Linked DNA regions of Neodiprion lecontei. The protein of the gene in region 2 purifies or fractionates together with the protein of the main gene of each other region. This does not show direct contact. Links are inferred from orthologs where the notes say so. Each region holds a gene or a part of one and is shown on either strand. Other genes may lie near its edges. The genes, in order: YY1-associated factor 2, casein kinase II subunit beta, G patch domain-containing protein 2 and protein kinase C-binding protein 1.

The links.
Region 1: the proteins of casein kinase II subunit beta (region 2) and YY1-associated factor 2 purify together in Homo sapiens (affinity purification with mass spectrometry; 5 studies listed by BioGRID and IntAct, counting the BioPlex papers as one, with this or other methods). This does not show direct contact. The link is inferred for Neodiprion lecontei from reciprocal best matches to the Homo sapiens genes CSNK2B and YAF2.
Region 3: the proteins of casein kinase II subunit beta (region 2) and G patch domain-containing protein 2 purify together in Homo sapiens (co-immunoprecipitation; 3 studies listed by BioGRID and IntAct, with this or other methods). This does not show direct contact. The link is inferred for Neodiprion lecontei from reciprocal best matches to the Homo sapiens genes CSNK2B and GPATCH2.
Region 4: the proteins of casein kinase II subunit beta (region 2) and protein kinase C-binding protein 1 purify together in Homo sapiens (affinity purification with mass spectrometry; 3 studies listed by BioGRID and IntAct, with this or other methods). This does not show direct contact. The link is inferred for Neodiprion lecontei from reciprocal best matches to the Homo sapiens genes CSNK2B and ZMYND8.

Annotation. Positions count from the first base shown.
Region 1 is NC_060263.1:33,482,097-33,490,018, forward strand, and holds YY1-associated factor 2, read left to right. Parts: upstream 1-1,901; 5' UTR 1,902-2,084; intron 2,085-3,102; 5' UTR 3,103-3,408; coding exon 3,409-3,585; intron 3,586-3,811; coding exon 3,812-4,150; 3' UTR 4,151-7,743; downstream 7,744-7,922. Other genes in the region: WASH complex subunit 2C, read right to left, coding at 63-214, 357-545, 891-1,025, 1,317-1,319. UniProt on the Homo sapiens protein: Binds to MYC and inhibits MYC-mediated transactivation. Also binds to MYCN and enhances MYCN-dependent transcriptional activation. Increases calpain 2-mediated proteolysis of YY1 in vitro.
Region 2 is NC_060262.1:34,621,121-34,625,298, reverse strand, and holds casein kinase II subunit beta, read left to right. Parts: upstream 1-1,849; 5' UTR 1,850-1,977; coding exon 1,978-1,991; intron 1,992-2,119; coding exon 2,120-2,195; intron 2,196-2,470; coding exon 2,471-2,573; intron 2,574-2,867; coding exon 2,868-3,249; intron 3,250-3,443; coding exon 3,444-3,552; 3' UTR 3,553-3,654; downstream 3,655-4,178. UniProt on the Homo sapiens protein: Regulatory subunit of casein kinase II/CK2.
Region 3 is NC_060265.1:19,680,436-19,688,116, forward strand, and holds G patch domain-containing protein 2, read left to right. Parts: upstream 1-1,920; 5' UTR 1,921-1,992; coding exon 1,993-2,045; intron 2,046-3,898; coding exon 3,899-4,074; intron 4,075-4,208; coding exon 4,209-4,560; intron 4,561-4,663; coding exon 4,664-4,866; intron 4,867-5,627; coding exon 5,628-6,331; 3' UTR 6,332-7,149; downstream 7,150-7,681. Other genes in the region: mitochondrial import inner membrane translocase subunit Tim9, read right to left, coding at 7,267-7,497. UniProt on the Homo sapiens protein: Enhances the ATPase activity of DHX15 in vitro.
Region 4 is NC_060263.1:23,697,470-23,702,360, forward strand, and holds the start of protein kinase C-binding protein 1, read left to right. Parts: upstream 1-1,882; 5' UTR 1,883-2,059; intron 2,060-2,520; exon of another isoform or gene 2,521-2,651; intron 2,652-4,071; 5' UTR 4,072-4,085; coding exon 4,086-4,579; intron 4,580-4,891. Other genes in the region: myotubularin-related protein 9, read right to left, coding at 1,104-1,265. UniProt on the Homo sapiens protein: Chromatin reader that recognizes dual histone modifications such as histone H3.1 dimethylated at 'Lys-36' and histone H4 acetylated at 'Lys-16' (H3.1K36me2-H4K16ac) and histone H3 methylated at 'Lys-4' and histone H4 acetylated at 'Lys-14' (H3K4me1-H3K14ac).

The DNA.
Region 1 (7,922 bases), on a different chromosome or scaffold from region 2:
AGTGAAAATACCAGCATGTCATTGGTGGCAGTATTTTGTATTTTTGAATGCTGTTTTCAAACCTTGGAATTGCAGTCTCTCCTTCATCTTCACTATCGCTAGCAATAACTTCCAATATTTCGTATTTTTCTTCCATTATCGCGATTCCACGCCGTACAGTCTCACCTATGCTTGCTATCAGTTCTGTATCTAGCTGTTCTTTCGTTTTTGGTACCTGATAAAATTTATCAGATTAATAACTGAGGTCAAATCTTTTCATCAGACAGATTTTACTTCTATAGAACAATACACAATTTACAGTAGAAATGAAACAAGAGACAAGTCTAGCAAAAAAAAATTTGGTCTTGCTGACGTACTTCTAGCTGTTGTTCTTTCGGTGGTTCAGCTTCTATTTCATCCTCGTAGACTCTACTCTCGATAAACTGTGTGTTGGCTAGAGCTAGTGATGTGTTGGTTATATTATCTATGAAAATAATTGTTTCGTCAAGCTCTGAACTGAACGAATTTAAGGCTTCCTGCGTCTTGTTAGCTGTTGTCATCAGCTTCTGAAGGAAAGAAACAAAAAAAAAAACACGCACAAGAGTGTTATTTTTTTTAATAAAAATTCATTCTAATAGTGAAAAACCAGACTACAATCATTACCAAAGTGAAGTGTAACAGGGAAATCTTTTGAAACGATAGATATTGAAGTATTGAATTTAAATAAGACCGTTTAATAAAAGCAAAGTAAAAATAAGCGTTTTCGTCCCATAATTAGTTCTGAACACGTATTGCATCTGATTTTTATTTTCCTTTGATTGAAAACAGCTTGATTTTCTATCAGTGTGCCTAATATCTGGCTTTATATTATTATACCAGATCCGAAGTGTTTATTAACTAAAAATTCCTACATCTGAAAATTGTTGCAGATGCTGTAGAAGGCCGGCATCTCCGGCAAGATTCCAGGCAGTTCTTTTTTCTCGCATTTCATCTGTAGTCCATGGATGATCCCATGGTTTCTCAGCTCTCTCCGGTCCAGCAGAGTCCTAAGAAATTATTCAAACAAGTTATAATATTTTCAACTATACCACCACGATTACAGATAGTGAATTTACTGCCTAACAGTATAGTTTGAGAGGTTATTCAGAATAAAATTTAGGGGTCTCCCATCTGAGGTTTAGCTATTGACAGAAGACCCCTAAATTGTCCGCGTGATTGTGATCCTCCCCTTCAATGTCAGCTGATAAAGAGGAACAAAAAAAGTAGGAATATCACTGTAGAGATAAAATTGTAAAGTAAGTGAGTGAAGTTTAAATATTAAAACTAGAGATTTTCACCATTTCTTATCTGGACTGACACCTAAAGTGTCCCGAGTCACTTTTCCGTTGTGCAAATCACATTTAACAGAGAAAATTTGGTTATTAATATCAAGCTGATTCCGTTGACAACTTAGGAGCAACCACTTCTCTTATTATTGCTTACGGTGCAATCGAATTCATTTGTTAATCGAGGTTCGAGCCGCAGTTTTAAAATCGCAAGTCGCAACTTTAGGCGTAGAGATTTGGTTTACAGAATTACCAGCTTGGTGGTTTTGAAAAGTTATTCGTAGGAAGAGATGCCTGTTTGGCGGGAAATATAATGATTCGAAGGAATGTTGGCATATTTGGTAAAAAATTTTGCAATTTAAAGCTAATGTGGTGGTAATGTTTCATGTTTTTAGTGGGAAATTTGGCGTTTTTATTGATTTAGTATTTTGGCAGTAAATTATGGGTTGATTATTACTAAAAATATCGGATGTACGCAATACAAATCAAATAATCGATTCTTATCTCGATTCCGTAATCGATTAAAGAACGCCAAAGAGTCTGGTCATTTTTAGCGGAATAATGACAATTAAGTTGGCAGCGCTGTTTGGTCAAGTTCGGCCGTTCCGCCGTCCAAGTGGTAGCAAAACAGCGCCTTGTAGCGCTTTGGTTGTTTGTCAATATTTTACTTTCTGAATTTTATCCAGCTTTCGGGAGTTCGATAATATCGGATTATTTCCACTGTCGTCGGAGAGTCCTCACCGCCCAGAAACTTGCGGTTTATCTAGGGGCTCTATCGGCGTAAGTAAATTCACGTTTATATTGCGTGCCTGGAGCGAGTTAATTCGACGGTGTGTGTTGTGTACCCAATGCGTATGTGCTCCAGTTCATTGATATTATCGTGTGTCGCACGTACACATGTGCACTTTACGCGTGCATGCATACCTTACCAGAGTTGCATGTGCAATACTTAACACATTTCTGCAACAGTACGCAAGGTCGAGATTTGGATTCCTAGGTGTGCAATCATCATTCATCTCATACCAACCAAATGGATTGTTCACTGATTTTGCCTATAATACCGTATTGTTCCGAATATTAGGCGAGGTTTTTTTTTTTGTTGACAGCACCCGCCAAAATCGTCCTCGTCTTATACGCAAACCCGTCGTGCGGGTAACTACGAAAAACACTCTGAAATACTGTCTTAGAATTTGGGGTCGGCTTATAGTCTGAACAATTCGGTATCCTTCACATTGTACATTTCTTGAGTACCTAGAGTGTAAATAATCTAGAGCGGATGCTGAATACTGAATAGAGAAAAATATTGTGATCCACGTATGGGGTCATTTTTACAGGTTTGACTGATGAGCTCTACATCGTCACTTAGGAATAACCGAAGTTGATTCAGTTCATGACAATACAATCTGAGGCAAGTACTACCTCAAAGGTGTAATGACCAATCGAATATTAGCATCTGAAATTTAGGTCAACTGGGAAATGCATCAATTCGTCTGTTTTGACTTCATCATTCCGACCGCTACTGTATTTTGTAAAAAATTATTTCTGTCTTCAGACATGACATGACTGTTTATGAATTTTTTTCTGTACACAACCAGAAATGTAATTTTTTTACTTTCGTAGCATCTGATAAATAACTATTTTAAAAAGAGTCACAGCAGTTCACATATTCTTGTTAGGTATTACCTCGTAATCTCTGTACTGATGGATAATGTAACTGATTGTCAGTAAACTAACATTCAAAAATGATTGTCCAATCATTTTGGAATATGCTGATAGAAATTTGCTTGTTTTGTTTCAGTCAAATTTGAAGATTCACAATGATGTTTTGGACAAGGATAATATGGTTCATGGACCAAGGCGGTCATCTTGAGATTGACGAAGACACGAAGTGGCCTACTGTATTATTGAGTTGATGCACCTGAAATACATTTAGTCCTATATCATCGATAGTTTTAAATAAATACAGTCACCCTGGCTCGTTTGAAAATATTTCAAAGACTTACAAGTGTTAATAAAACTGGTTTTAATGAGGCTGAAAGGGTGCAGAAGAGGGCAGGATCTCTTTTGAGAAGGTTCAGCGTAGCACGACTGACTCCGATGAACAATGAACCATTCCGGAAGTGGGAAGCGGCAGGCAAAGGTTTTGGAAGACAGCTATTGGGACTGCAGTGTCTGCACCTTTAGGAATACAGCTGAAGCTTTCAAGTGCCTCATGTGTGACGTCCGCAAAGGAACCTCTACGCGGAAGCCCCGCATCAATCCTCAACTAGTAGCTCAGCAGGTTGGCAATCGTTATAACGAAATTTATTCACCTAGAATAAAAACATACAGACACCATTGTGTAATTGTGTGAATGTATCGATCTGTATGCAGAGTGACTTAAACATCACGAAGTACCAGATAACAGTATTCTGGAGTAAGCAAATATATCATATGGCAATTTTATTTACCATTGTAACATATTGGAATATTTACACAATACGTGAATATACTCTTTTGATTTACAGGTTGCTCAACAACAATACGTACCACCCTTGAAACCAGGTAAAAAAGAGGGTGGAAGCGGTAGTAGCACTACCAGTAGTGGAAAAGACAAGGAACGAAAACTGGATAAACCAAGGCGCAAGAACTGGCATCCGCCTCGCCTCAAGAACATTGACCGGAGTACGGCACAAACTAAAGAAGTCACTGTGAATAATGTTACCGTTGTCATCACTGAATACAAACCAAAAGTAAAGAAGAGCTCCGACCAATCCGGCCTCTCGAGCAGTGCGTCTTCTGAGAATGGAAGTCAGCATGATTCTAATCAGGATTCTAGAAGCCTTGACATAGGAACTGATGCCTAGTTCGTCATTACGACATGTGCATAAATGATTATAATTAATATATATGCTATGCAAAACCACACCATCTGATATCAGCTGCTTTACTTTTATTGAAGTTTGTTATTTCACATCTGTGTGCGAGATAAGCACTATCAATTGCCGTATACCCGCGTAAACTGTTATCCAATTATCCATCTACTGTGGCTTTAGAAATATGTAATTGTCGGATGTTTTGGTTTTCGCGTCATATTTCAGTGTTCTAACGATGGGAAAGTTGGCTGTTACTCGTTGCTCAATCCCGCATCCTTAGCTGGAACATCTTGCATTAAATTGCACATGCGTCATAGTGTCAAGTGATATCACACTGCCAGAGATCCAGTTATCGTTTTACATGCCTTTGAAGTGTTTGAAAAACTATTGTATGAATCTTCAAGGTTAAGAAACTTCCAAATATTTTCCAATTGATTTCTCAAACAATTCGTCTTTTTTTAAAGATCGTGACTTGAGTTATTAAAATATCAAAACTACATATGAATTCATTACAAAAATTTCAGAAATTGGAAGAAAAAAAGTCTTGTACCCCCTGATACTGATTAAGCGTATTGAATCAACGAATAGTGGTTATTTTTTTATGCCAAAAAAAAGAAAGAAAAAATAAATAATTGCCCAAACGTGTCATAATGCATGATTGTGAATTGTTTCGATCAAATAATTTTACAGTCACTGTATTATGAAGATTGCTATTGGCGAAATCTCATTCTTGTTACATCGTGTCCATTTCTCGTATTTTGTCAAAATTGCCAAAAGATATTGAGATTAAAAATTCCACACTTACTCTTAATATTGACTAATAAATGGGCTAATGGCATTCATTTCCAGGACTGCAGTGATAACTGCTCATGACAATAGCCTAAAATAGCAAGCTATATTTTATAGATCTTAGACTCAGAGAATTCATCAAAAGTGACCATTTGTTGATTGATATTTCTATGTGTAAATACAAGTAAGCAGCGCAAATTCAAAAAACCATAGGAAATTTATCAAATACGTAGAGTTACAGAACGTCATAATTAGATGTTACACATATCCCAATATCAGGTACCGTATTGTTCCGAATAAAAGCCGAAGTTTTTTTTATCGTTGGCAGTACCAGTTGAAATCATACTTTGTTTACACATAGACCTGCCTCACCTGCGGGCAACTGAAAAAAACACCCTGAAATACTGTCTCAGAATGGGGAGTCGTCTTATTATATGCGAGGTCGGCTTATACTCGGAACAATACGTTACTTGTGTCCCATACATGACGTATAGATTTCTCAACAACTTACAGTTTCATTATAAAATAATGAACGTGTATATAATTTCTCATATTAGGAGATTAATATGACAAATAAGGTATTGTCATTCAATTATTATAGTAATTATCTTTAGTGCAAATTATTATTTTTTTTTAAAAGCAGATTTTCTCAACATGTTACAAAAGTAACCCTTATGTACTCGTCATATTAAATTTCATTGCTTACAATACACCGTTTTTACTTGGAACTGGAAAATTAATTACGTTACAATGCAATCAATTGATGACTATACAACTTCAATGTGTCCACAAAGTACTCAACTACATATCTTTATATTTTCGCATAACATCATTTCAACTATTTGCAATTTGGAATCATCAAGAAAGCTAAGGATGGAAAACGGAGGCTTAAACATCAATTTGTGTACTACCATAGAGATCGTAACTCATCTCTGATCTGAAATTGTTGTGTATGGTCGGACAGCGACAGCTTTGTTTTTCTTACTGAAACTTTTTGCGAAAAGTGTAGAAAGTATGGATATGAAGAGCAAAGCTGACGGTGGAACACTATGAAAATACGTGAATGTGAATCATTGAGGCTGAAATAGATACAGCTTAGAAGTGTCCTAAAAGTAAAATATTTGGCAATTATCAAATACCAATTGACGAGAAAATAAAAAAATTATGAATATCAAATCAAAACTTATCTGTACTATGGTAGTAGCATGTGACCTGTGTATATCTAGATACTATGTAAACTGTATTAGTAATTATAAAATTACTAATATTTTAGTAACAACAACGGTTATTGGTGTAAAATTAATGGCATAGAATCTCTGTGTACAACTAATCCAACAGCTATTATTCGTTTGTTTTGAAATAATATGAGACTGCCTTACACATCGTTTAATACAATACACATATTATTAGTTCGATTAAAAACAAACGATTCCATGAAGCTAAGTTGACGTTGAGCAGGGTCAAGATTACTGAAAAATATGGAACTAATCGTTGGCGCTATCGAAATTAAGACTAAATCAGAATATTCAGGATTATTTAATATCACGAAATACGTGGCAGAACATCTGCTAATAGTCTAACAGATAAGTTTAGCTAGTGCCGCCTGAGTTAAGTTTCGTCTTTTCTAGTAATCTCTTATATTTTATACTTATTACTAAAGCTCTGTGGAGCTTAAAGTTTTACAGATGAAGATGACCACCCCTAAGGTAACTAAAGACATAATCTATCTGTTAGGTTCATGTCGCATACATAGTAAAAGTTAAATTCATGCAATCATCAAATTATTGAAACCTAGCTTCATCGAAATAGGTAAAAATTGAACTGACATTTTTCTCGTCTTAGGCGGGATAACTAATTCGATAATTTCGTCGATACATTTTTTTCACCTCTAATGCGTGATACGTGCCAACATTTCAGTCTATGTATCTCCTACAATACCGCGATTTCCACCAGACCTCATTAGACGGACATTTAAAAAGCATGATATCATTTTTTCATTCGCGACGCTCTACGATATCTTCATTTCATGTATCACAACTTTATGATCTTTCATTTTAGTAAAAATCAAAATCTTTTATTTAGGATTTTGCGTTGCGGTAATCGCTGTCAGTTGGCCTCCACTGTGAACGTGCAAAACCTGCTTCAATCGATCCGTATGGTATCCACGAGGTACACCAACTATGACAGCAAAGTCCATTTTGTAATATGCTTAGGAAAAATATTGTAAATTGAATATAATATCTGTATATGTATATTAGGGTGTCTACAAAAAAAACTATTTCGATTTTTCATGCTCTTACCCCTCAAAACTTGAGGTTTGATAGAAAAAAACATCCTCTCGAAAAGGAAACTCTGTAACTCAAGTAAAGCCGCCGTTTATTGGACGTTTCTAACTATAACAGCCAATTAACGTGTATGACGAACTTTTTGGAAGGAAAAATTCGAGACCATGGGGATTGTGTTTCAAATCGAGAGAAATAAAATTTCATTAAATAAATTTTTTTTCATACCTAATTTTTATTTTTCTATAATTTCTAATTTAAAAAATTACAAAAATTATGAATAGGAATAAAAAAAAATTAATTCAACGAAATTTTGTTTCTCTTAATTTGAAGTCCAATCCCCATGGTCTAAAATTTTTCCTTCCAAAAAGTTCGTCCTAGACGTAAATTGGTTGTTATGATTAGAAGCGTCCAATGAGCGGCGGATTCCCTTCCTCTTCTTCGCGGGGATGTTTTGTTCTATCAAAACTCAAGTTTTGAGGAGTAGGAGCATGAAAAACTGATATTGGTTTCTTTTGAGACACTCTAATGTATATATACAAACGTACATATATGTATATATATGTACATTAGAGTGTTTCAAAATAAAAAAAAAATTAGATTTTCGAACGGGCCACACTTGAAGTAGTTAGTTTAGGTAGAAACAAAAATTCTGGCGAAACATGAGCATTGTCGGTTGAGTGGAAGATCGT
Region 2 (4,178 bases):
ATTCGTGTAGCTACCTGTACTTTGGATTACTCATATGATACAATTTTCATCAAATTCGTGGGGCAAGTGTTTGTGAAAAAGAACTCCGCACTATAAAATTTTTCATCAAGGCTTCGAGGGCTTAATTTCGAACGTAATAAGGAATATAATACGAGTTTTTTTGAAAAATAAAAATACATAAATAAATGACGTTTAATTGTTTGGATTAAGATCTCAAACATATCAGGTGTGCGACGAACATGAAAAACAGTAGAATCTACCAACCAGCCAATTCAACGATTTTCAGATCAAAATAATAAATCGTAATTGAAGGATTAATTTTGCGCGCGACACATAACCAGGTACCATGATCAAATATCGATGAAATCAGAATGGCTGTAATCTTGAAACATAACTACTGAATGTAAAAAAAATAAAAGAAATTGTGATATAGCTTATGAAAAAAAACTTGTACTCTGAGAAAAATCTGAATCGCGCGAGTTTCTATTTTGTAAGCACACTATATTACTATGGATTCACATTGAGTATTTTAAACGTTGAAAAAATAGATATGAGTATATATATATGTACATAAATATATATCATTGAATAATAATGAATCAACTCAAGTTTAAAAAATTGATCCTCGAGAAATTGACAGTTTGATACGATTCTGTTATTGACAAAATTGATATGTCTTGTTTATTGTGACAAATGTTTTTCCTTTTTTTGGATAACAATGAAGTCCATTCTAAAGACGCACTATCGTTCATCGTATTGTTAATGCTTTATTTTATATCCATGGACGTTTGAAAATGTAAATAAAGTTAGTTTTCAAAGACATTAGTGGATTTCATGGGCAAACATTCAATTCCAAACAATATATTGAATAATATACGAGTTAAAATCATGATAATAGTCTAACTATCGATGGTTTGAAATTGGCATACTCCCGAAAGTTGATAAATCAATAGACCAGACGGTACTGCAGAATGCATACTGACCATCTGTTTGCATAAATGACGGTAACGACTCGCGATGCAATTTTTTTCAATTTGCCAACTGACGAATGACTGGCTTCTGTTGCAGTTATAACCAATGTAGATAATACAATTGAAAGATAGAAAAAGATAACTCAGTGTCAGCTGCTTACAAGTGAAAGAATGACAAATTTGCGGTGTATTCTTTTAACTTCGTCAAGTAATAAAGAGCGAAAGGTTATATTGTTCGGCTACATCGTTTGTATTCCATGACGTCATAGACAAACTGAGACTGTTGCCACAACGGATTTCGCTCGTCCGCTCACCTCTGTGTCCTCTGACATCAGAATTTCAACAATATGTACCATCCCCCCATTCCACTGATCTCAATTATAATCACATTACAATAGAGATTATTGCCATGATTATTGCCCTACTCCTGCCATATTGTCCAACGATGAGCCAACCAATCATAATACAGGGTTGAACAATGAATCCGATAGTTTTTGTAAATCGACTATAGTTTCCAGCACTATCCGCGAGCGTAGTTTCCAATCATCACTCGACGCAGCACTGACTATAGATAAACGAGAGGCCTGTTATATCGACGCCCTGCGCCTGCCGTGTCGCCGATAACAAAATAATTTCATGTTCATTGTGGAGAACAGTTCGTGAATAGTGGATCGAATTGTATGTTGTGTGAGAAACTAGCGGGTGTATTTATTATCAATATCAGTATGGACTTGAATTGAAGTTAACATGGTATCAGGATTCTGAGAATAGTGTGCACCCAATAAATTCTCCGCATACAGCTGGTAGCAGACGCTAGCAGCGACACCTACCCTCTCTGGGCGAGCAAGCGTGGCTAATCAAGGCACCAAAAGGTAAGCCGTAAGGGCTGTTTATTTTTGGGTTTTCGGTTTACCGCGTGGCTCTTAGGCCAGTTTTCCTAGAGTCATGCGATTTTCCCTTATATTTAGTTATACAACGTACTCAATAATCATTTGACCGATCAGCAATGACCACGGAAACGTAGGTGAAGCGGTTGAGCAAAATGTCGGGCATCTTGCGTGCCGAACGAAGTGTCTTGTTATTCCGTTGGCTAATCTACGCGATTATGGTTTGTTAAAGTTTTTCACTAATATATCTCTAATTAATAGAAAAATGAGCAGTTCCGAGGAGGTATCATGGATCTCGTGGTTCTGCGGGCTCAGAGGAAATGAATTTTTTTGTGAGGTAAGAATTTTTCTAATCTCATTCTCATACAATCGTTATGATAGGTACTACCGATTATCAGTCAAAAATTTGGTGAAATCACTTTCTATGAATCATTCCTTAAATATTATGGCGTCTATTGTTGACCTCCAAATTTGCACTACCGCTGATATTACTATATATCCGTATGCTAATCGAGTGTAAAACCAAGTGTTTCAAAATTTAACTGAGATTATCATTATTATAAGTGTGGAGCTCAATTTTTAACCGAAATTATGTTTACAATTTCTACGCAGGTTGATGAAGACTATATACAAGATAAATTCAATCTAACTGGTCTCAATGAACAGGTTCCACACTATCGTCAGGCATTGGACATGATCCTTGACCTCGAACCTGGTACATATTGTCTTTTGTTTTTAAACTCTCTGTCGTACTTGTTATATATTCTCTGTGATCTACACCACTATCAGAACACTTAAGAATAATTCAAATCTTAAAACTTGAAAATCATAAGTACTGATAGCTCTATCGTCAAAGTGTAGAATTATAGGTATAGTTGAGTCGATATTTTTTAAGAAACTTCTTTTGCATCTTTGAATCTGGTGTGTTTAAATTGGAGAATATTACTGAGATGTGTACATTTTTGACTCATAGCTGCACATATAAACTTGAAAAATTTCCTAATTTTAGATGATGAACTGGATGACAATCCGAACCAATCGGATTTGATAGAACAGGCTGCTGAAATGCTGTATGGTCTTATTCACGCACGTTATATTTTAACGAACCGAGGTATTGCACAAATGATTGAAAAGTATCAGTCTGGTGACTTTGGCCACTGTCCACGTGTTTACTGCGAATCGCAGCCTATGTTGCCACTAGGACTCAGCGATGTACCAGGCGAAGCAATGGTCAAAAGTTACTGTCCCAAATGTATGGACGTCTACACTCCTAAAAGTTCACGACATCATCATACTGACGGTGCATATTTTGGAACTGGATTCCCACACATGCTGTTTATGGTGCATCCCGAATATCGACCTAAACGTGCTGCTAACCAGTTCGTGCCCAGGTAAAACCCTCACAACGAGAACTAGAAATAGTTGCATAACTGCAGAACTAAAAGATTTCTACCAGTCAACCAAACCAAGATAGTGATTTATTTATTTGGCTCTATTTAGGCATACTATTATGTGATATATACATTCTTATCTCGAGACCAGGACTCGAGAATTACTCTAAATACTTTATTTTACAAAATTTCAGGTTATATGGATTTAAAATTCACCCCCTGGCTTATCAGATTCAACAACAATCTGCTGCAACCTTCAAAGCTCCATTAAGAACTCTCAACTATAACAACGGAAAGCGTTAAAACTTTATTTAAATTTGAATTAGAAAATTTTCATTCGTATTTCGTAATACAAACCATAATTTTGTTGATAAGTTTTAAATAAACTGTCACTTGTTTTATAAACCTTCTTCAACCGGTTTCCGAGACCGAAGCAAGCGAACAAATCTATAGATGCAGCGTGCAAATATTAATGTTCGTAGGTAATTATAACCTTTCTCCATTTTACTTATACGTATACCTTTTTGTTTACTTGCCAAATCTAATGAACATTTCATTTTTTTAGTATGTAGCATAGTATCGAGATAATTTAATGTTAACTTCATGAATTCCGTGCAGTATTTTTTAACGCGCACTTGATTGTGCAGTTCGAAAACCTGTTAATTATTGATTGTTCTACTCTGAAAACAAAATATACCAATATTACGTATTTATCTATACTTCTAAGAATGTCATTGCTATAGAGCAATTTCTAACGCAATCGACAAACATCAATGAAAAGTAAACTAAAATTAGAAGTTAGCCTAATAGTAAAGTAAATTTGTTATTAACGATGAGATCAAAACCGTGTCATCATTTTCCAAATTATTAGTAGGATAAAATCGAAAAAAAAAAATGGTGTATAAACTATATTTGCTAAGCATAGTTTA
Region 3 (7,681 bases), on a different chromosome or scaffold from region 2:
AAAGGTAAATGATTAACGTTGTGGCGCGACAGTCGCGCATAGCTTGTACATGCATGGACGTACGAACCAGCGTCCCTGTAGTTCCTTCCATCAATGGATCGTCATTGGTCGAACGATCGTTCCTAGCCAATAACATTCCGTCTTTTCATGGGAATAAGAGACTTGAAAATTAATTTGCTTTGATTTCAGGGTATGTATGCACACACACACGCTTACACGCATGTTAGGCAACACATTCTGATCGGCCGTCAAATCATTTGTTACATACATAACAACAATCTCCGAAGATGATCAAAAATTTGCTACCGCTTGCAACTGTTTCGTAAAGATGGTCGCACCGATATAATAGAATCGCGTGGCTACTCGGCACGCATTTGATACAATAATAACAACACATTCGTACATACAAACAAAATTACAATACGCAAGGTGCGTGCGATCAGCAGCTATGAGCTACTTATATACGCCGTGTGCTGCCTATCTGTGTTGCACGATTTTGAGCTCAATTATTTTTTACCTCTCATGAATAACTAGGTGACAGGAACCCTTCTGTCCACACTCGTCAGAACTATATTTATATATATAATTGGTGAATAATAATAATAAAATTAGTAACGAAACTAAATAAACATGTGTAATGTACAAAGAATGCGGTTCATATGTGATACGACTTACATCTTGGGGGGGGGGATGGTTCCGATAATTGGTACTCAATCTCGAGTTACGTTTCTTCGAACTCTGTTCACAAACGAGTTATAATTCGCTCGTCCATCGAGTTCTGAAATTTGGAAGTGTGGAAAATCTGGTTCACGTTCTGAAGCCATGGTTGTGGTATGGCTTGAGCTGCGAACCGATAACATATAGAATCAATTTCATGATTCGTTCGCCTCTGGATTCGGTATCGCATAATTGCGGATGAAGACGCTATTCCTGACACAGCTTGAGTGTAGCTGTTAGTTCTCCCTAGCTTTGCTGCTATGTTACGGAGTGGTTCAGGTTCTGAATCGTCTGGTGAACGTGATATAAAGGATACTTGGGCTAAGGATCCTGTAGTTGAAGTTGGGAAGGTTGCGATCGCTTTACATTTTGAATTTTCAATATGATCTGCCACAGATTTTAGTAAATCCTGGAAAATTGGGATATTTGCGATGTTCCTTGGAAACACATCGTTAGCTGTAATCCCACCTGCTTCTAGGGTCACACGCTGATCTTCTGACAGCCTCTCTTTTCTACGCCAACCTAAAAGGTTTTCTGTAGGCAATTGAGCGGCCTCTAGATTAGGACGAAGACCTTCTGGAGGATCCCAGTGAATAGGGCCAACAGGCATAAGATCTGCCTGCATCTTCAGAACGGAAATGATTGGCGCGGGTATCGTTTCATATAATATATAAGTATTGGCATCAATGATACCATAGCTTCCGACCATTCCGTTAACCCGGTGATCAGTCAGTGTGGCTTGGAGTTGCAAATGGAATTCTCGTCCAGATGCATACCTAATATCTCCTATCCCTTGCAGATACATTTAGATATCTGTTGGTAATGGAAAGTCAAAATTTAGGGCCTGAGATAACTGTAGATGTTCAAGAGTGAGATGACCTCTTGAGCTTGAGATATCAAACAGTCTTTTCTAAAGTGCCACTGTGCAATAATATTGATAGGCACTAAAAGGAACATACTTCCTCATAGATCTATCGAAAGCCCTCTGGGCACCATATGATGTTTGGATGACTTGAGTGTACCCGCTAAAGTCCAGTTGGAATGTGCGCTCTCGAGCTACCTCAACGAAACCGTTGATTCCCTCGATAGTGAGCAGATCATTAATGAGTGGATCATTCTTCTCCATTGATGCGACTGAACTTTTGGCTTTGGGAGCCAAATCCAGCACGATATCCCTGGACTTGAAATCCTTCTTGGGATTAGTGCGAATTGTCTTAACCTTAGGGGTTTCTTCGACAGGGTGGGTCCCGGTTGAGTTAGTGTCGGCTGGGAGCGATGCTCCCCCACGACCCCGTCCGTTTCCTCTGTCTCGGAAAGTTTCGCGAAAGGTTCGACTCTGTTGCGGTTTGTGTTCTGATATGTTAATGGTGCTTTGTTTCATCTACTAGACTATTCACGCAAAATCACTAGAATTTTGGTTAGTATATACGTACATATCTACGTTTGAAGTTTGCACGTCTTTCTATCGTGATACGAGTTTTCAATGAGTTGTAGCTGCATGTAACATTCAAATTAAATTTTTACACCTTACACAATACTTGTTGTAATCTCTAAATTGTTATTACAAATGAATATTTTTGTTATTGTTACATCGTATCCAGGCGAATAGGCATATTTTTCTCTATTTTGTTCCTTCCCGTTACTGACCTGATATAATCTATGAGATTTTACATGTCGTGTATCGAATGATCGAAGCTAAGTAACATTTTATAAACCACCTCACTTGTGACGATTTTTCATGATACGGTTATGTGAGTTTTTCACTTACTCCAATCGTTTGCTGTACTTGTAAGCTTTTGTTCAAATTTTATTCTGTGCAATTTACATATTAATTTTCCACTTAGATTTATGAGACTGTCTAATAACTTATTTTAAACTTTCAATATTATTTTGTCATAAATAAATGTTAAAATTGTAAACACAGCTTTATATAACTGGAATGAATTTATAAATTTCTTGTACCATTTAATTACAAAGCTGTGGAAAAATATTCAATTTTTGTTGGCACAGTTAACAGGGTGGCCACCCGTCTGGAAAACCGGGAAATGTCAGGGAATTCCGTGAGCGGAATTGAGTGGCCACCCTGGTTAAAAAATTGAGAACAAGTTTCACTAGGCGAATATGATGTACAAAACATTTTGTGAACTTCTTTCGAAAGTATCAAGAGAATAGCAATAAAACCTGAACCATATCAAATTAATTCCAATTTAAAAAGTCATCAAAACTTTATAAAGTAATACACAAATACAGTCATTGTAACTTTGTAACAATAACGTAACAACTGAAATTAGTGGCAATTTTTTTCTTCAATCACTCAATCTATGGATTTCATGTTTCAATCTTTTGCATGACTGCAAAGAAACGTCTAGGTTGGTTTTGCATACATGAAACTATCTTTAGCTACACGAACTTCTCAGCTTCTTGATATTCATGAACGTTCTGCTGTGACATAATTGGGAAATTTTTGAATTTACACAAACATGCAGTTGAAAAGAAAACAATTAATGTAACATTTGAGTTTACCAAGAGTGAAAAAAATACTTTACTTTTGGGAGTCCGGTTTCAATCTAAAATTGGATAATGACCTGTTAAATTGTAAGAAAAAGTGGGTGTAACGGGATTAGAACTGTTAATATATGAACGTCTGCATAATCATATCATTAGTTTAGCCAATGCAGTTTAGCTTGTACAAGGACTAATAGGTTCGGTTTTGACATATCACGATATACCAAATGCAATGTTTTTTTAAAAAAAATCAAAACTATACTTTTGCACATCCTACCAATGTCACTGCAGTTCACCCTTGTATTTATTGTCAGTTTTGATATTCAGAGCAGTCGTGAGAAAGGCTCTATACCAATGAAGCCATGCCTGAAGCTTTTTTTAAACATAAGAATTCACTATAAATACAAGGCTGTTCAATTTTACAAAATAAGGCCTTCCAGATTGCTTAGTCAATGTATCATTTGAAAGAAAACATTGGAGTGATGGAATTAGATAGCTTAAGATACCTTATTTACAATGTAGCTTTTATTCGATGTTTTAATAATTGATAAACGACTAAAAAAATGTTTAAAAATCCTGTATTGCTTATCACAAACACTAGATTTGTGGGGTGAAGAGTAGAGAAAATTTGAATTAATTCAGTTGTTTCCAATTGTGTTCACGATTAAATTTCAAGGAAAAAGCGTATTCTTCAAATGGAGCGTGCCCTAAAAACAGCGTCTGTGGATTTAAGAGTTATAATGGAGGCTCTTGTTCACGACTTGACCCTTGCGTTAGAAGAAAGTAGCAACAGCGCCAATGTGAGGCGTAGATGGGGTATCAGGAGAAGAGCAAGGTCAACAGGAAATATTCGTGAGTATAAGTGGCAGAGGAATAGATTATATACTAAACCAAATGATTTTTATTTACGAACAGAGTTTAGTGGCAATTGCATACTATAATAATAATAATAGATACTGAATAATGTTTTATGATTAATTTTTCAGCTTCTCTGAGTGCAAATAAGCATTCAGATGATAGTTCGTCCTCTATATGCGATGTACGCATACCAAAAAGTGCGACAGTCTCAAAATATCAGTCGGACAGCGATGACAATAACCAGACAAAAAGATTCGCTCGCTTTTCAAACTTGAAAAATATCAATAACATCGAAAGTGATTCAGTAAATGAAAATTTTGCACCTGGAGCTAACACTAGACGGAAAAGAAAATTCAAGCGAATGGCTATCGACTCTGATTCTAATCCATCAACTTCACAGACTGTCACGATGATCCCGAGTTTGTCAGGCAAAAAGAAAAGGGGATTTCGGAACGATTGCAGACTTAGACATGAAACATGGTAATTAGACAGTTTCGCAATCTTATTCACTTCAGTTTGTTCACTTAAGATAAAAATGTTCCAAATCAGTGGAGTAGATAATTACATATCATGTTGATTTTAGGTGTGGCAAAAGGAAGAGGTCATGTCGCGAGCGTTCAATTGACTGTGAAATGCGATCTCCCAAACCAAACCGTAATTCAAAAATAAAAAACCGTGGTAAGATGCAAGCTGAGGATGTGATGGACTGCTCACGCATTTCTAACTCTAGTATTTCATCGAGTGATTCTGAAGGTGGAATAATTACCAACGATGAAGACCGCGAAGGTGAGTTTATATTTTAAATATAACATGTGTTTAAGTTATATAGATACTGTATTCCATTAAGATACTTTGAAATACTGGGGTGCCGATCTACCACTTCATGAAACTATAGTCGATAATGTAATATTGAACGTCATAAAAGGAAAATGCTCTGTTTTTTTTTTTTCATTTTTTTATGATTAAAACGTGAGATATCCAATTCTGATGTTTCGATGGAGATAATAATTTCTTTATACAAGAAATGGAATTTTCTATGGTACGTTTATATACTACATATTATATACTATACGTTTCACAACTTATTTAGTTTTCTTCAAATTGGCGTGTTATAGAAAAGTTTAAGCAGTACGATTTCTGAGATATTCAACATTACGTAAACATAGTCCTTCACCCTTTCGAAAAATCTGTACAGTGACAAATTTTACTACGCGCCAATTTGAAGAAAACTAAATAAGTACTCAAACTCTATCATAGAAAGTTCCGTTCTTTGTATAGAAAAATTATTATCAAATAAACGTCAGAATTGGATTTCTTACGTGTTAATCAAATCAAATGGCAACTACAAAATCTCGATGTGGTACAGCTTGAAAAAATTGTTCTGCATTTTCCATTCACAAAGTTCAATATTTTGTTATGAACTATAGTATCATGAAGTGGGAGATGGAAAAAAAAAAACAAAGTTATTTCTGAAGGCATTCTATTAAACACGCATATTTTTTTTTCAAGTGATGTGTTCATTACAATTACGAAATTTTGGCTTTCAGGCGATGATGAGCAATCCGATTGGATTGGAGATTCAGGATGGTGGGACGACGGGGACAGCACAAATGAAGAAAAGGTCAGTTCAGATCCGGCTTTGCAAGTAATACTACACGGTAGCTTTGAGCATTTAACCGATGAGGCGAAAAAAAATTATCGTCAAAGAATGCAATGGATTCGAGATGGACTCAGTGGCAGAGAAATTCGAGCTGGGCGACGCCGTGTGGATAATAAGCCTGGTTATTCTATAATAACTTCGGCGAACGAAAAAGTTTCAAGGTTTCTACAGGACCCTAGCCAAAGTGAACTAAAGCTGCATCCAATGCGACAGCCTGAGCGTGAAAAACTACGAAGGCTTGCCAATTTGTACAGCTTAAGTTTGAAGGGTGATTTGAGTTGTCCAATTTTATACAAAACTCGCCATACGACCCAAGCCATTTGCGTCGATCAAGTTTCTCTGAATAGAATATCCGATTACAAAAGGCTACGAAAGACTCCACCAAATTCGCCAAATCCTGATTCGGAAATGCAGGAGAATGAGCTACCTATTTCAAGTGTGAATTTTGGTACACAAATTACAAACCAAATACAGGGTATTGGCTCTGTCGAGAGCCTGACACAAACTGTAAACTTTGGCTGGGATATACCAAGTACAGACCTGCAAATAAAACCAAAGTTTCATAGCTTTGGTCACTCCAAATCTAGCTAAATGTTATAGAGATTTTATTACGAATCTACACATATGTTCTTGCATAATGACAATTCTCTGAAAACGCCGATTTTTACAGTCATAAACCAGTTTTTGTAAGTATAATTCAAACTTAAATCAAGCTCCATCGCACCTTGATAGCATGGTTGAATATAATCAAAGGCGAAAATCAATGACATTGCGAAAAGAAATGTAGCCGATTTTATTTTTCCGTCCCCTTCTTGTGAATTCATTAAACTTCGCTATTATCTGCTGACGTTCTGTGCAGTTTTTTCCGGAATTTCGTAATTTTTCTCATTCTATCAGAAAATTCCGTTCGCTTCACCGGTATTTAGTTGTATAAAAAGAGAAACTTACAATCCTGTCTTGTGTTTGAATTATATTTTAAAACATTTGTAAGAATGCCTGTAAAGAACAGTTACATAAAGAAATATTATTTACAAGCATTTGATATACTAAGGTTTACCAGAACAACAGTTACATGTCTCATGAACTATACTTCTGTACATTTTTGTGCCTAAACCAGATCTTGATGAAACATGCCCAAGAATTCCTCGAAGATGTATATCAGTTTTTTTTGAGGTGTAAGTAGATCTCCGGTCATTTATTTTTGGAATATCACTTGAAATAATGATTATAATAATTTATAACTATAGTGTTAAGTTGTTACCTACAGTACAGTCTGGAATACTGTATATGTTAATTATTATCATCTTCTATTAGGGTTTTTGAAAACTCGTTCATGAAAGATGGGCCAATGGTGGAAGTTATGTTTAAAAACATAATATAACAATAAATACACTACTACTTCTATAAAATTCATGCGTTAGTTTATTCATATAGTAAGACGTTTTTGATATACTAATAGCATATAACATAGAACGAGGAGCACTTGTTGATAAAATTCTAAATGACCAAAAATAAATGTAGTATTATTAGCGTAATTGACCTAATTTTTTAGCTGCTGCCATTGCATTTTCATTGGCTATCATCTGAAATTCTTGAAAGCGTTGGGAGACCCTCTGATTCATCTTCATATATTTCTCCATACAATTCAGCGCACATTTCTCCTCTTTGGTTCTCACTTCTCGTGTTGTAAAATCGGTTATACAGTCAATGAAGCAGATTTCCGATAGCTTATTGTATGATGTCAAGAAGTCTCTAAACTGAAAAGTTATAAAATTATTCCAATAATAAATATGTTTTATTAAATATTTTACTATGTCAAATTTAAACGATTAATTATATCGTTACACTTCGAATTTTTACCAGACTGTAGGACAAGACGAAAGTACGTTTAAATTACTTTTGCTGAAAGTTGTAATAGATCAACATTCGTAATTTTACTTC
Region 4 (4,891 bases), on a different chromosome or scaffold from region 2:
GTATTTAGCAATCTTACATTACACAACTATACTTGCTGACAGACACCTTTGACACTTCCTCATTTCTATCAATAGAACGGTAGCTAGCCATAGCCCTTATTTTCAAACTGATTCACAATACATGCAAAGACTACATAATGTGTTCCATATTCTCACATGATCTTTAAAAATGTATTTACATTCTGGCCTGCAATTTACAGGTCAACTTATAAAGTTCACTGTCAAATGATAAATAAGGTGATATATGTGTCACTTACATACTTCACTCTTATTTATGTAAATATATATTTTACTCTCAAGAACTTTTGAATGAAAATATAGGTTTTTGCTTATGCTTGTGTTAATTTATTACTGAGATGTATCTTTCTAAATCACGAACAGTATTCCAAAATCTGTTATTGTAATTATTGAAACGTAATTGACTAAATGTAAAATGAAAAGTTGCACATGTTACAAGATAGCACATAATTTTTTTGGGATATTCAAATATAAGGATGGTCTATACTCATAAATCAAATTTCTGTAAGCCTGATTTTATCACTTTTTTTGTAGTGCTTAAAGGGAATCTTAAATCAAAATTAAGTTTATTTGACATTGCAATACTGGAGATAAACTGGTTTTTATACACTTACAGAGTGAGGTATTACAAATTGATATATTCTCCTTGTATTACTAATATGATATTACTTATTTATAGTTTTGTTTTAAACTGTCAAATTTTGCTTTATTAATACACAGAGTATTGCTTAGCAAAGGATCCATTTTGGGTTAGTATCTCTTATTTCAGTAATTATCTATGTTTTTGCAAGACGCAATTCAAACTAAAACACTGCTTGATAGCGAAGGAAAATCTTGTGCTTAATGAAATAGCTGGAAGAAATCGAATATCTACAAAAATGTGAAAATAAAACGTCAACTGGCTAGAAAATATTTCAAAAAAATTGCAGATATTGTCAGAACATGAGTAAAATTCTCAAATTATTTTCCAAGAGTTATGAATATAAAACTATATCTAAAACTCTGGGACGTACAGGATTGCGGAACATATTATAATAAATAATATGGCAGTTGGAATAAAACTACGAATTGATCAGTTTGAGTACCAAAAGCTCCTGAGAAACAGCCTGCCTTGATGATAGTATAAGATGATGTCCAGTGATGCAGAGCGTTCTATCTAAGCTAGAGTTTTTATCAGTTCCATCGCTTCTATCAGTGAGAACGACGTTATCAAGTTTTGTAACTAATATAAAGTCACTCAATTCCATTATTCGTGCTGATTTAACTCACTGGAAATAACAAGGCGAAATATTATTATTCTTCTGCAATAAGTGACATTTCACAGATAAACGTAACCTTAAATAAATACCTTATCAGACTGATCGTTTATCTATTATATATTTGTAGTTTATCGTTGAATTTATGAGTCGATTAAAACATCGGTGTAACGGAATCGTCAGAAAACTCATTCGGCAATAGTTTTCGTAAAGTATTACGTCTCTTTGACAGCTGCTGTTAACCCGAATATTGTATGTGCGAGATCACTATACGCCTACACTACAGCTGGTTGACAGTGATAACCAGCTAACCCTTTAACAAGAGGTGTGGAAAAGATTGGCGAAAATTCGTACATAAACTGGTGATATTCCGGGATGGCGAAATGGAGAGCGAAAAAGGTGATGTAAAACTACAAGGTGTCATGCCTCAACGAGCATTCCGAGCCTTCGGAATTACCGGACCCACGCATAGTTTGACAGTTCTCTAATTGTATATGTGCACTTTTGTTACGACTGAATTGTAGACACGATCACCACGTGATGTCCGAAGGTTTGCCAATACCTCAACAGATAGCGCTGGCGTAACGAGAAGAGAAGGAAAGCCCGGCTAGTAGTGGTTTGCTCGTGCAGCGCAGCGAGAGATATTTCCTAACTTTCCATAGCGATTAATGTCTCCACTTATGTTTGTATCATGTTAATTCAACGAAATATTAGTCTTGCAAAGCGATGCGTCGTATCACCAGCTTTCGTCGTTTGATAATGCGTACTTCCTTCTGAATAGATTGGTAAGATCCTGTTTATATTTTTATGAAATTTTAACAGTCTATCCTCTTCTATTCACTGCCATTTCACACAACCACAGCATCCATTCCTGTGCCTGCTGCTATGATGTAGGTATACCCACTTTTTACTTCATTGTCATCCTGATATTACTTTCCCAATATTGAACCATGCTCAGGTACCCAAGTTTGTACCGCTGCAACTTAAATGCATTTCTACAATTATTTCTTTTTACATTTAGTACAACACGCTGTTACCAGGTCGATTAGCACTTTTGGCATTGGCACTCATCTACTTTCTGCTTATCTTTCGCATTCAGCCATAATCTTGTATTCCTCATTGTTGTAGACACGTCGCTTACCCAGGAGGCATACTATAAGTCATATTGCTTATTCACCTTACTCTTACAAAGTTATTTTCACTTCCGAGAATTGATTTAAGGCTTTATGTTTCTCTTGCGATTCGGGATAGTATGAAGGAAGATCCTGGCTTCTGGTTTCCTTTCAATCATCAAGAAAATAGTAAATGGTATACAGACTAGAAACATTTTGGGGCTAGGATTTCACCAGAAACTATTAAACTTTGAACAAAAACGAAGTAAGAAATATGCACCTGAAGTTTCGATCCATTAAACTTTATTGTAAATTCAACTTGTTGCTGATACTGAGATCCTATGATAAGACTTTGTGTAGTAAACCTGGTAAAAGTTTGTAAACCATCCAAGGGCACAACATTACACAATAAACTTAAGGCTAAATAACGCCCCGACCTGTTTTCAGTATTAGTAACAACTTGAGTTTTCGACTAAGCTTGATTGGTTGGAACTTTAAATGCATAGATAAACATCATTTCCATTTCAAAGTGTACGTAATAACAATGGCATATGTAAGAATGTTTGATGTCAGTGTCTTCAAACTATATATAGTCCTTGGCTGAACAAGGGAGGTGATAATTTCAAACTAGTCACATTAATGCAATCTATGAATTTTTTTTTTTTTATTCTAAATATTGCATTTTATATGTGAACAGAATAATTACCGACAGGATAATCATATATACAATTTTGTGTTGAAATAATTTTTTGTGGAATGATTGTTTCTTGGATCATTTTAAATAGGATCGGCGTGCATGATCTGTTTCAAACAAAACATGTCCTTAATCGGTTCTGAAGTCATAAATCATATTGACAAAAACCCTAAAACATAATTTTATCTTAGCTAAAGCAATTCTGGCAAAATTGCCATGAACCTAGAAAACCTGGCAACAAGGAAAAAGTTATGAAGCTTGATTACAAACCTTGAATTTAAAATGCAGAATATTTACATCCTTGAACATGATATAACTACTAAAAAGTCCTTTTTTCCGCGTATTGCTCTGACCTATATCCAATTCATGTTATTGATCAAAAATCACTTTATATTATACTTGGACACAGAAGCAGGATTTAAAAATTGATCGTCAGCTCTAAATTGTTTTATTTTTAATCCAGTTTCTTACTTCATTTCTAATGTGGACAAAGTTCTATTCATCTAGAAATTAGAAAAATGTTGAAAATGAAAGTTTGGTACAGCCAGAGCTGCAATAATGGAGTGCATTAATAAATAATAATGTTCAAAAGAATCGATTTCAATAAATTACATTAGCTGGCTTTCAGTTCATACTTTTATTTATTTTGTCGGTATGTCAAGATTTCAAATGTTTATCATGAAAATACAAATTTTCACTGTACATAAATAAATTTATAGAAATTGAAAATAAAATTCTTACATATAACACATAACATATGGTGAAAGTTTTATTGTATATTGAAAAAACCTGTATTTGATTGTTATATAGAATTAAATGATACTTCATATAATAGAACTACAAATATCAGATTTTTTTCAAAATCGCGCAGTGTGATACAAAATTTTTTTTCGACTATGGTGTATTAGTTCATGTATTCGAATTACCAGTGAATAGACAGAAAATTAAACTTCAAGTAGCCGAAGCTTTAATGACAATCTATTTCACACAGATACCATCTGATATATGATTCTGAGCAACATGGAGTCCTCGGAGGATAGAAAGAACGCAATGGAGGACTGCGAGGATCAGAAGAACAATTCAGAGACAGCAGTTACAGAGAAGGACAAAAACGATAATGAATCTAGCAAGAAATCGAACAAAATAAACAATCTAACTAATGCTCTGGAGCAAAGTGACAATATAGAATCAAAGACAAATGTGAATAGATCAAAGGATAACGTTAGCAACGAGTCTGATGTCAAAAGCCGAAAACAATCTGCTAAAAAACACAGTAGAATTGAAGCAGAATCGCAAGAAAATAACAGTGTTGAAAATAGACTTGATGGCAAGAAGCCTGATGTCTCTAAAAGTACAAGCGAGGAAGCACAAGCTTCGGAAACAAGATCGTCTTTGTCTGTTGGTAAAGACGTCAAGATCAATGGAGCAGAGATTAAAGGGGAAAGTGCAGTTAAGGAGGGCAAGAGAAAACGGAGAATGTCGAGGTTGGTAGACACCTGGTGTGTAAGTAGTTAGTTTTCTTATTTTCAATAATTTGATGTATTATTAATTTGTTGCTCAACATCGAAATTGTAGATCTTGCATCAACTGCAAACTATGTTTTCCATGTAAAACTTTTTATAACAATGTAAGCTCACTTAGTATATTCTTATTTTCTAAACCAAACCACAGAGTTTCAAAATCCGTTTATTTCTCACTTGGTATTTCCGAACATTCTTCATACTACAAAATATTGAAGTTCTTCACAGATTAACATGTTTCTCAATTTATATTCATAAGTACTGTAAACCTATTTTCTATTCTTTTAATTT